Linked DNA regions of Oryzias latipes. The protein of the gene in region 1 interacts with the protein of each later gene in a pairwise test. Links are inferred from orthologs where the notes say so. Each region holds a gene or a part of one and is shown on either strand. Other genes may lie near its edges.

Region 1 (4,118 bases):
CATGGTATAGGCCCTTTAATATTTTAAACTAAACAGTGAGTACATTTTCTTATAAATGAAATAAATGTAAAATTAATAGTGTTTGACGCCCTGCGACAGACTGGTGACCTGTCCAGGGTGTCCCCAGCCTTCGCCCACAAGTGGCCGGACACGCTCTGGCAGCCCCCTGACCCCGAAAAGGACAAAACGGCTTAGGAGATGAAAGAATGAACGACTGTTTGACCTCTGAATGTGTTATTTTTGAAAAACCATTGAGCCTTTTAAAGGTTTTATGAAGAGAATCCAAATCAAAACTAGTATAAAACAAGAAAAAAACTCATCACAAACAATGAAAAATAGACTTTGACTATACAAGGGAAAAGATTCAGTCCACTAAAAATGAACAGTGCCCTCTTGGAGGTTAAACCAACATTGGTTAACATAATCTAAACTCAAGCTAATCATTGACAGTGGTTTATCATAAAAACTGTGCTTTTTCACCATGACAGCCCAGTGGTTCAGTTTAAATCTGTCATTTATTTCACAGGACACCATACAAGTGTTATTTTAGTAACATTTGTGTTCCTTTAAAAGTCTTTGGTGAAATTACAATATAAAAGTAAACTTTTTTTTCAATGTTATCTAGGTCATTTCTATTTTTTTAAAGCAGGTTTTTTTTTAAATCATGTTTAGGTTTATAAAGATTTAGGTTTCCCAACACCGTCTGGTCAAGTTTTCCTCTTGTCTAACAAACCTGATTAAGCTCCTGAGTTTAATCATGACTTGAGAATGAGTCATTTATTTGAGTTGGGTGTGTTTGACAGAGAAAAGCAGTAAAACACTCTGGGCAGGGATGCTTAAGGAACAGGGTTGTGAAACACATAGTGATTCCTAATAAGAAAAAGGAAGAAAACTGCTATCCTTGATCGTTACAGGGCCAAAGGGCATTTGATAAAAGCATAATCATGCAAATTTCAGAGTTGGCAATATCAAACACTAATAATAAAAGTGTGGAAAAACTTGAAGAAGTGCCTCATATATGTTTTACTCGTGCCTGTTTGACACATGCGAGATTTTCTTTCAGAAATGTTAAATAAAATGTAGGTTATTCCAAATAATTGATTTTCCCAACACTTTTCCTGTAGAACATTGGACAAAATAAAGGGGCTTTTTCTACTTATTTTAGTCAAACTACTAATTTAGTTGACTACACAAGACTACAATGTAATAACAATACCAGAACACGTTTATAATATATTTATAATAAACTTTTTAAACCCGTCCTTGTTTTATAAAATGGATATTGTGATGTGGGATCTTCCGAGACGTCCCTGAACGCATCCCTCGTATCCAGGGAGTGGCCGCTGCACCTGTCCGACCTGTTCGAGGACACATGATTCCGCAGGAATTTCTGCCTCTGTGCCCGTCCTTTGTTTAACGGGTAAATTCAGAGAGCTTAGTTATTCAGAGAGCAAGGAGATACAAGGAGAGGTGAAAAATGTCGGAGCCAGCCTCTAACCCCGCCGCCGCCACCGCTGCCCCGGTGGACCCCGCCGCCGCCACCTCCTTCCCGACGGCAACCATTTCTCTACCTCTGGGTTTGGGTGTGTTACGGACTTATTCTGGAGTTCTCATCTGCATAGAAATAGTGAGTGATTGTTTACAAGCGGTTGTTTTATTCTATATTTATTCACATCCTTATTACTAATATATAGTAAAATCTGTTAGGAATCAGTTTTTGTCTATAGTTTAGTTTGTTACTGTTGTTGCAAACTGTATCTGCTCATTCGACATCATGTCTCTTAGGGATGCGACTTTTGCACATTTGTAGTCGTGCGCTAAAGTCACGTCCTTTAATATAAAATTATAGAAGAAGACCACAAGTGAGTTTTGGTTTGTGTCTACATTATTGTGTCATAAACATACAAGGTGACCTCTGCACAGCACTTCCATGAAAGCTCTAATCTAATCTAACAGGTATTTTACTACTTATCTTGATGCCTTAGTTTGTGCAGAAAAGGAAGAGCATATGTTGGAAACATTCAAAGAATTAATTGCCGATCTGTGGCTATTAAGGTGTGAGCCTGGTTGATGTTAACCCTTGAACTTCCCACCCACTAAAATAATGCTTTTAGTTGGTTTTGTGAAAAAGAAAACTTACCTAATAAGGATGATCAGAGAAGAATGCATTATGAACTAACAATTTATGATACTTTGCTTCAAAAGAATCATAAAAAATTGGACATTTTAATCAAGGGCTAAGTAAATTCCTTAAAAAGATTGAGAGAGAAAACAAGCAGCAAAGATGCCAAAATGGCCAAAGTTTTTCAATTATTCACCAACTAAAATGCAATAACACTTACGTGGTATAATTAATTTGCCAAGATATTGAGTGCCTCGGGGTAACTGTTCAAATGATGCATGACAATTTTCACATAGATGCCATACACTTAAAACTTTCAGCTCATGTTAGTAAAGGGGAGCATTAAGCAGGAGAACAAATCCAACCATTGCAGAAAAATATTTTCATATTTACCTCTTGAACTGCATACATGCCTTGTCCTCAATTACAGGAAGAAAGTGTACTTTCAATCATTCATCTGCTAAACCTGGATTGTCCCTTTTGGGGTCATGGGGCTGCCGGAGCCTATCAAGGCCACTCGTGGGCAAAGGCAGGGGACATCCTGGACGCCAGTCTGTCACAGGACCACAATCACACACCCATGCACACCCACATTCACACCTAGGGACAATTTAGAGAAGGGCTGCACGATAAGAGGAAAACTTGCGATATTAGTGATCAATATTGCGATGACGATATAACTTGCAATAAATGAACAAATAGCAAAATCAACAAAAATATTTCCATTTCACTGAACAGTTTAATTTAAATAAGAGTCAAAATGCCTTTAATTATTCTCCAAATGACCCTCGTCTAATTAGGAGGGCAACATCTAACATAAAAGCTCCATCGGATTGGTTAGCAATGTGAAAGGCTCCATCTGATTGGTATCAAGGGATTTATTCAATTATGTATTCAATTCTTATGATTCAAGTGGCCATAAGATTTTTTTAGCACATTTAAGGTTTACCTTTTATTGCGATTTTAGCTGTCTTTTGTGATATGGATAATGCACAGCGATAATGCATCGCGATAACAATAAATTTGCGATTTATTGTGCAGGCCTAATTTAGAGTAACTAATTAACATGTGAAGCATGTTTCTGGAGGTGGGCGGAAGCTGGAGTCCCCAGAAAAAGCCCATGCAAACTCCACACAGAGAGGTACCCCATTGGTGTTCTGTTTCATGTCTATGGCGTTTCATGGCTGCCACTAATTTTATCAAGCGCAAAGATAAGGACTGACTGAGCGAAACTTATAACTGCGCAATTTCAACCGAGCGACCCCGCATTTTACAACTGCACAGTTGCAATCTTAACCGAGTGGCGATCCTGCATGCTCGCTGGGTTTGCGCGAAGTGTTCAGGGGGTGTTTTTGTCACTTGGGGGCAGTAACCTTTCTGGTTGATCTGATTGGCAGAAATCTGTATGTCAAATCCAGTGAGGCAGCGGGGCGGGAGTTTAAATTTTTTTAGAGGCTTTAATAGAAAATAACGGCGAACATATTGTGGATTGAAATGTTAACGAAAACACGAATTCAGTGATTTTACATGAGAAAAACTTACACAAAAAAAAAAACCCACTGCACTTTCTTAACTTAGCTTATGAGCTGAAGTAAAGCTTTTTCTTTTCCCTGAATGAAACCAATTAATGTGTGCGATTTTTTCATTCACGTTTTTATTTCACACACACACACATGTACAAGAGGTTGCAACACAGATTCACCATTTCTAATTGATTTGTTCATTTATATGTTTATAAAGAAAATTGATCAGTTTACAATTACAGTTTGAGTTTTATTAAAATACTGGCTCATTTAAGAGCATAGAGTGTTTTTAATCAATATAATCTATATGTTTTTGTCACTTGAGGCAGTAACCTCTCATTTTTTTGGCTTTGATAGCATAAAAGACGACGGATGTAACGTGGATTAAAATGTTTACGAACAACCCAAAACCAATTATGGGAATAAGTTTAAGTTCAGGTTTTTTTCGACTGGGACATAATGAAAGACCAAGG
Region 2 (3,519 bases), on another chromosome or scaffold:
CAGTTCCTCTGTGTATGTGCAGAAAGTTTTGTGTGCTGCGATCATGCCGATCACTGCTTGTCATTGGTTCCTCCCTCGCAGTAAAGCCTCATTTGTTGGTAAATAGTAGAAAACCAATCAAGTTGATTGTTTTTTATTATTATTATTGATTTCTAATAAATGACCAACAACAACAGTGACTGTCAGTATTTCCAGATAACACACAGTTCAGTTGCATAGATTCTCCTCCAGATTATAATCTGCCTTTTCCCTCGGCATCCTTCTTCTCTCTGGATTATTTAGCTGCAAACAAGATTATTAGCTCCACCTAAAGCTTCTGTGTGCTGAGAAATGCAACCACATTGATGAGCCTGAGCTTAGGGGTCTTTGGGGGTGGGGTAGCGATGTGACAGCGGTCGTGTGTGTGTGTGTGTGTGTGTGTGTGTGTGTGGGTGTGTGTGTGTGTGTGTGTGTGTGTGTGTGTGTGGGGACCACATATTCACCCTTAATGCAAAGGATTAGCACAGACCCTCTGTGATAGGATGCGATCGATCCTAATAGGATGAAGCGGGTTTATGGGATTTCTGCAGTGAGTGAGAATCCCCCCAACTTTAGTTGTGTTTGTTTTTGTGTGTTCTTTTTGTGTGTCGCTGCTCTTTGATTCTCCCTAACTCCTGCTCTTCTCTCCACAATGCTGTCGGATAGTTTACAATCAATTCAGCACTCGGCTAGCATGCCTGTCATAAGGTAAGAGCGGCCAAAGCGGTTTACGTTGACGCGGCAACAACACAGAGGACGCGCGCCTTGAATTAAACATGAGCGTGTTTGTCAGCAGCAGCTTCTTATCCCATGTTTTCAGAGCAGGGGGGACCACTGCTGTGCTGCAGTGTCCCTCCACCTGCTACTGTGAGATCAGGCCCAGCAGCAGAAATCAAACTGGAACACGGATAAAACCTGAGGCAGCCTCAGGAACCGAGTCGGTTCAAAGAACCAGACTTCAGTCTAAAGCCAACAGGGTTTTGGTCTGGGAAACCCTGTTTCATCCTGTATTCTCCCAAAGAGGACAATAAGGAAGTGTGCATGTGGAAAATGAAACTGTAATTAATCTCAAACGTTCTTCCGCTTTAAGGATATTTGGTCTGTTTATCTGCATTTTGTTTTAAATTTTTATACAGAGGCCAGATCAGTTAACCTGTCAGTAAATAACTAACTTTTGTGTCTTTCTTTTCCCAGAAATGCACCAACCTTCAAGTCTTTGGAGGAGAAAGTTGAGACACTGAAGGTAACGGATGAATAAAGTCACTAACCTGAAATCAGCAGAAATGTTTGGGTCCAGCAGTGCAGAAAGCTTGGAGCCGGTTCCTGTCTGAACTGAACAACTCAGGTGTTTTTAACATCTGTTTGTTCTGATGGACAGAATATATGAAGAGATTTAAGCTTAAAACTGCATTTCTGAGTATTTCTTTATTTAAATCATTGCAAATCAGGAGCAGAAGAATAAATGCAGTTTGAAAAATAGCATTTTTGTGATGCCAGGAGGGCCACAGGGTCCCTGCTCCGCTCCATTCTGATGCATCCACTTGCAGACGTTTAGATCCATGAACGTCTTTGTTTTCCTCGTCTGAGCTGGAATCTGGATCAAATCTGGACAGCTCCCACGTCGCTTGCCGTTTTCGTGGGAGCTAGCTGTCCCACACAGATGGATCTCAGAAATGGGTGGGGTAGCGCCGTGCCAACAGTCCCACCCACAACGCAGAGGCGAATTTCTTATGAACCACACCTGCTCTGCAGAAACGATACAGGTTTTTAAAACTTTTGGCTAAATTTAGCTACATCATCATCACTGGGAACGTTTGTACAACAGATCCAAAGAGGAGCCATTTTTATTTTCAAGCAAAAACTTTCGTTCGGTCATCATTTCTGTGAAAACGGATAGTTTTAAATTGGTTTTAGAATGAAGAACTGAAAAATGTGTCAACACCATTAAAAGCTGAAAAATGTAGTATTAATGCTGTAAATCTAGCACGATTACCTGGTTATGTTTGAGGAATTAACCAGTTTTTTGATTTTGTTTTTGACCACATTGTCAGATTTTTTTCAAGTAGATGCTAAATTCGTTTGAGATGGTTTATGGAAGCGGTTTGATGTCTTTGCATCAATCGGTTATGTGAGGTTTCAATTCAAACTGTATTTGTCTGCAGACTGTTTCAGCAGAAATGTCGTGTTGCATTATTTCTGAGGGAATTTGACATTTTATTGTTTTTTTTAAAAAACAAAAAAAAACAAAATTAAGTTTTGTTGTTGTTTTTCCTCTGCAGACCAAAATCACTCCATCAGGACCCGGCAGTGATCCCAGTAACCCTGACAGCCAGGACGATCCTCCATCTGAGTCTCTGGGGGGTCAGCCGGAAGACCCTCCCACTGAGGACACGCCGATGAAATGAGACCAGCCTCCATCCTCATGTGACCCCCCCACCACCACCACCACCCCTCGTGTGCCAGTCTCCCTTCATTGGAACCAAGTGACTCACCAGCCTCCCCTGTGATCTAATTGTCTGATCGCTTCTCCAGCTTCTACACACTGAGCATGCTCAGACTGCTTGCATGGGGAACCCTTCCTGTATCTTTTTTTTTGTCGCCATTATTTTCCCTGCACTCCTTTTTGTTTTTTCCATGTTTGTACAAAATGCCAAACGTGTTCCAGTGAAGTTTATCTCGATCAAATCCTGCTCCTTCAGTTGTTGAAGATTGCACAATGACAAAGGTGTTCTCTATCAGAAGACATTCTGTTCGTGTGAAGACATTAGTTAACTTACTGTGTTATTAGACCATATATTGCTTAGGTGATGTTAAAAATCTCATGTTCGTTTTAGGGCCGCTTTGGATCATTTTGGGATTTATTGGCCAAACTGTTGGGTTTTTCTTCAGTGTGTTGATTTCTGAGACCCATCAGAAGCATAAAGTATTGTGAAGCACTATGTCCAAGCAATGAACGTATGCTTGTTTTGTGCTAAAAGTACAAAAAAGTGTGTCGCTTGCACCGCATTTGGAAGGAAATGTTCACACAGCTTGTTGTAATTTCAGAATCAAACCCCCGTTTTCCTCTGCAGAGATCAGCACAGCAGTGGTGGGGGGGGGGGGGGGGGCAAACACATAGCGAAGCTTCAGCCTTGACCTGAGGTGAGGCTGGAATAACCGTCTGTTCTGCAGCCAGCGAGAGTCAATATTTAAACACTCGTTCATTGTTCCTGCCAGGGAGGCGACAGCAAGCCTCCACACATTCTGTGTGATACATTAAACAAAGGCATGGCAAAGGGAGCCGCACTGGGTGTTCAGCACCCTGATGCAAGACAGAAACATCACAAAGAAGGTGCAACGTCCTCCGTTTTTCTCACGCGAGTCACGTCCAAATGAATACTCTGTTTACTGCTGCATTACATTGTTACAGTATTTAAAGAGCTCATTTTCTCTAGATTCAATCAAAGTCAGAGAATCATCTCGTCTGCGAGAACTGCTGTTGTTAAAATTACTGAACAAATG
Region 3 (3,519 bases), on another chromosome or scaffold:
TAAAGTCTCACTTTACCTTGTTCCACCCAGCCATCCAGTTTTGGAACCATTGACTGTATTAGAGAACTGGACCGGATGAGTGTGACGTCACCCATAGAAAATGGCTCACTCCCAACTCCAATGAAATGAAGTCCATTCATTCACCTTTTTTTTTTTTTGAGACGCAGACATTGCCATGTTGGTTTACTCTGCAGTGTCTTCTCTGTGCCTACCCTTTCTGCTGACTCTTCATCATCTGGCCAGCAGAAAGTGCCTTATCTGCCTATTCCATTTCCTGTGTGAGCCGGAGGGCCCCTGCTTCAGAACCGGACGCCCCTATTCACCATTTTTTTGAGACATGGACATTGCCATGTTGGAGCCAGACATCGTCGGTAAGCAGCGATTGGTCTGGGTCGTTCTGAGGCATTGCCTGTGTGGTGAAAGTTAATCAATTAGTCATCGGTGGAGACAGTCAGACCGCTAACAGGATTATGTAATGTCCGCTGTGCGTTGGAGAGTCACAACCTCTTCTGTTTGGTGTTCGAAATCACTGGTCATTTTCAGAGTCAACAAGGTGTAAACAGGAAGTGGTGTTTTTTTTTTTTTTAAACAAATATTTATGCATCCTTCAAGATTTGATTGGAGAAGTCTGCTGTGCTTTTCTAAAAACAAACCGCTTCATCTTCAGGGTCCTGGCTGCTGGAAAGAAATGGCCAGACAGGAGTGGCTTCTCCAGGAACTGAAGGTCACTGCTTGGCGTTGGCAGTCTGTCCTTAAAAGGCCAAGAGAGAAAGCAATCTGTTTTTCTCGTTTTTCTCAACATGTCGTTATCAATTCATCATTAGTTTTCCAGTTGGTACGAACAGTGACTTTCCCCACAGGTTGGAACTGAATAACCTTTTTTGTGTAAAATTGAATCTTGGAGTGCAGGAGCTTTTCAACGTAAACTTTGCTCTTTGATACAACCCCGACGAACTGGCCTCAGCCCCATCAGGTGCAGACACCCCTCTTCCCCTCTTGAATGCAGAGGCTTCTTTACCATGTACGATGCGGCGGGCCCTCCAGCCTCTGAAAGCACTGGCTTTCCTGCAGAGACACAGTGGCATCCTGTCTTCAGGCCCCGAGCTCGTCAGGGATCTTTTTGTGCTGCCGGAGGGCCGTGGATTCCCAGAACCTGACTTCCTGTCTCTCGTGCATGCCTCATCACTGCTCTGTGTTTGTGTGTGTGTGGGTGTGAGAGAGCAGAGAGGAGAGGCCTGTGTTTAAAGTGCGAGCTTTCATTGCCGACTGAGGATTCACTCAGTGCTCACTGGCTGGTCAGGTGGGGGGAATTGTACTTGCAGAAAGCCTTAATAGAGTAATTGGCTAAATGCACACGTATGGAGTCCAAGCCCCGTAAGTGGAAGGAAGGCAGAAGGCTGTAGATACAACCACATGGTGTGAAAAGTGCTGAAATAGCTGACATTTAACAAGACCACGCCTTAAAGACCCACTCTGGTCATCTTTTGATCCAAGTTTAATTATGATAATGCAGTTTTTACCCGAAATTTTAAAATAATCTGTCATTTTTTTAGGACATAGTTTCTGCAGAGTGGCAGGACTTCACCAGAAGTTTGCCTCTCAGTGGTGGGCGGGACTGTTGTTTTAAGCTTAATGTTTTGGCTAAATCTTGATTTTTCGTAATATATATGTCCTCCGTGACAAAAATTCCTCAAGAACATTTTAAAAATGCCATTTTCATTGGAGTGGGTCCGTAAGGCAAGATGAACCTCCGCCTCATCATAGATAGAAATCACTTTTTTTTTCTTCTTTTTTTTTTTTTAACAAATGTCAGTGCCATCTCTCACCAAGCCAACAAATAACCACTGGCTTCTATTTCAGGACTCCACACCTACACAGTTTCACAGCAAAGTGCACTTAGAGCTCTTTAGTGAGCACAGCCTGCTATTATAGCAGCTCATCCTTCCTCAAATGACACCACATGTTTTTATCTTCTGCTGTGTGCCACGAACAAGCAACACTTCTATTCACCTCTTTGCCATTGACTATAGAAGATCTAGACTGAGTGACTCCTCCCCCCTCACATTCAAAACAGGAAGTACCCAAAAACCAAAATCCTATAGACCTCTATTTAAAAATAAACTGCTATTACTCAATCTACTTGTTAAAACAACATACTGGATATAATCGTTTTTTTTTTTCTTGATAATTTATTTTATTTTTTCTGTGATATTTTTTCTTTATTAACCGACTAGTCAGATGCCTCCATTTTTTTAAGTTGTCGAGGTGTGGACTTTCAACAACTTCACTCGTGATTGGTGAGATTGGTTGCCATAGAAACGCTGACTCAGACTAACTTGGACCAATCGCTGCTTACAGACTGACGACGTCTGGCTCGTGAAATAATGGCATGTGAAGTGAGTTCATTTGGTTGGAGCTGGATGTTTGCACATTTCTATGGGTGACATCACCCATCATCTCAATCTGTCAATTTCTCATACATCGTCAATGGTTTTTACCAGAACGTTCTGTGGTTGTTTTTCTCTCAGAAGATGCATCAGGTTTAAAGTCTTGTAACATCTGTGGGGTTTTTATTTTATCTTTATTTATTTTTTTCAGGCCACCAGGCAGTTTCTGGAGGAAATCAACAAGTGGACCATTCAGCATGGCGTGTCTCCACTGTCCAAGGAACTGGCTATCAAATTCCTCATGGCGCGCAAGTTTGACGTTCTCCGGGCCATCGAACTTTTCCACAGTTACAGGGTGAGCGGAGCCACGGCAGCAGAACATTCTCATCAAGTTTTACCATAAAACGTCCAGAGATGAATGCAAGCCGAGGCGAAAAGCAGAGAGGTCAAGCAGGTCACCGAAATATTGGGGCGGGGCTTAAATAAATCAATTTATCATATCAGTACTTCTAGAAAATGATCAAAAACATGAATTGATTATTAAAGCAGTTTCTTCTACTTTTTAAGTGGTTAAAGCACTTCTGTTAGATTTGAAAGATTTCTGTGTTTTCTTTTAAAAGGGATCATTTAAAAAGGAAAATTCAAATGAAATCCATAGCTTTGAAGACTTTCTATAACCAAATAGACAAACTGATTCGTCTGGGTGAGACTGAAGCTCTGAAAGTACCATCTTAAAGAGCCCAAAGGCAGATTATCACTGAGCTCAGTGTGGGATTTTTCTTCTGGTCAAAATCCTAATCTGAAATACAGCAAAACATCTCGTCTATGAAACAAAATCCTACTCCAAGTCATCCAAATTATTCAGTGATCAATAAAACCAAGCGTTTCGTTTACTGGGGTGTACAAAATGAATAGACCACACCCACCTCACCTGTGCACAGGGAGCCTCTGGCATCTGTGTTAGATGGGGCAGCTTTGGCGCCAATGTAGAGCAGTTGACCTCTGATCGGAGGATTGTAGGTTCGGTTCCCGCCTTACCAACTCATGTTTTGGAGTGTCCTTGGGCAACACACTGAACCCTACATTATACCTAGTAGTTACAGGCTGGCAGCAGTGTTCAGCAGTGGAGCAG

The links.
Region 2: the proteins of mal2 (region 1) and tpd52 interact in a two-hybrid assay, tested with the Homo sapiens proteins (2 studies listed by BioGRID and IntAct). The link is inferred for Oryzias latipes from reciprocal best matches to the Homo sapiens genes MAL2 and TPD52.
Region 3: the proteins of mal2 (region 1) and ptpn9 interact in binary tests that used the Homo sapiens proteins (3 or more experiments, as listed by UniProt). The two-hybrid records come from large-scale screens. The link is inferred for Oryzias latipes from reciprocal best matches to the Homo sapiens genes MAL2 and PTPN9.

Annotation. Positions count from the first base shown.
Region 1 is NC_019874.2:10,913,654-10,917,771, forward strand, and holds the start of mal2 (protein MAL2), read left to right. Parts: upstream 1-1,316; 5' UTR 1,317-1,477; coding exon 1,478-1,627; intron 1,628-4,118. UniProt on the Homo sapiens protein: Member of the machinery of polarized transport. Required for the indirect transcytotic route at the step of the egress of the transcytosing cargo from perinuclear endosomes in order for it to travel to the apical surface via a raft-dependent pathway.
Region 2 is NC_019869.2:23,407,847-23,411,365, forward strand, and holds part of tpd52 (tumor protein D52), read left to right. Parts: intron 1-684; coding exon 685-726; intron 727-1,212; coding exon 1,213-1,261; intron 1,262-2,297; coding exon 2,298-2,423; 3' UTR 2,424-3,519.
Region 3 is NC_019864.2:10,375,723-10,379,241, forward strand, and holds part of ptpn9 (tyrosine-protein phosphatase non-receptor type 9), read left to right. Parts: intron 1-2,598; coding exon 2,599-2,742; intron 2,743-3,519. UniProt on the Homo sapiens protein: Protein-tyrosine phosphatase that could participate in the transfer of hydrophobic ligands or in functions of the Golgi apparatus.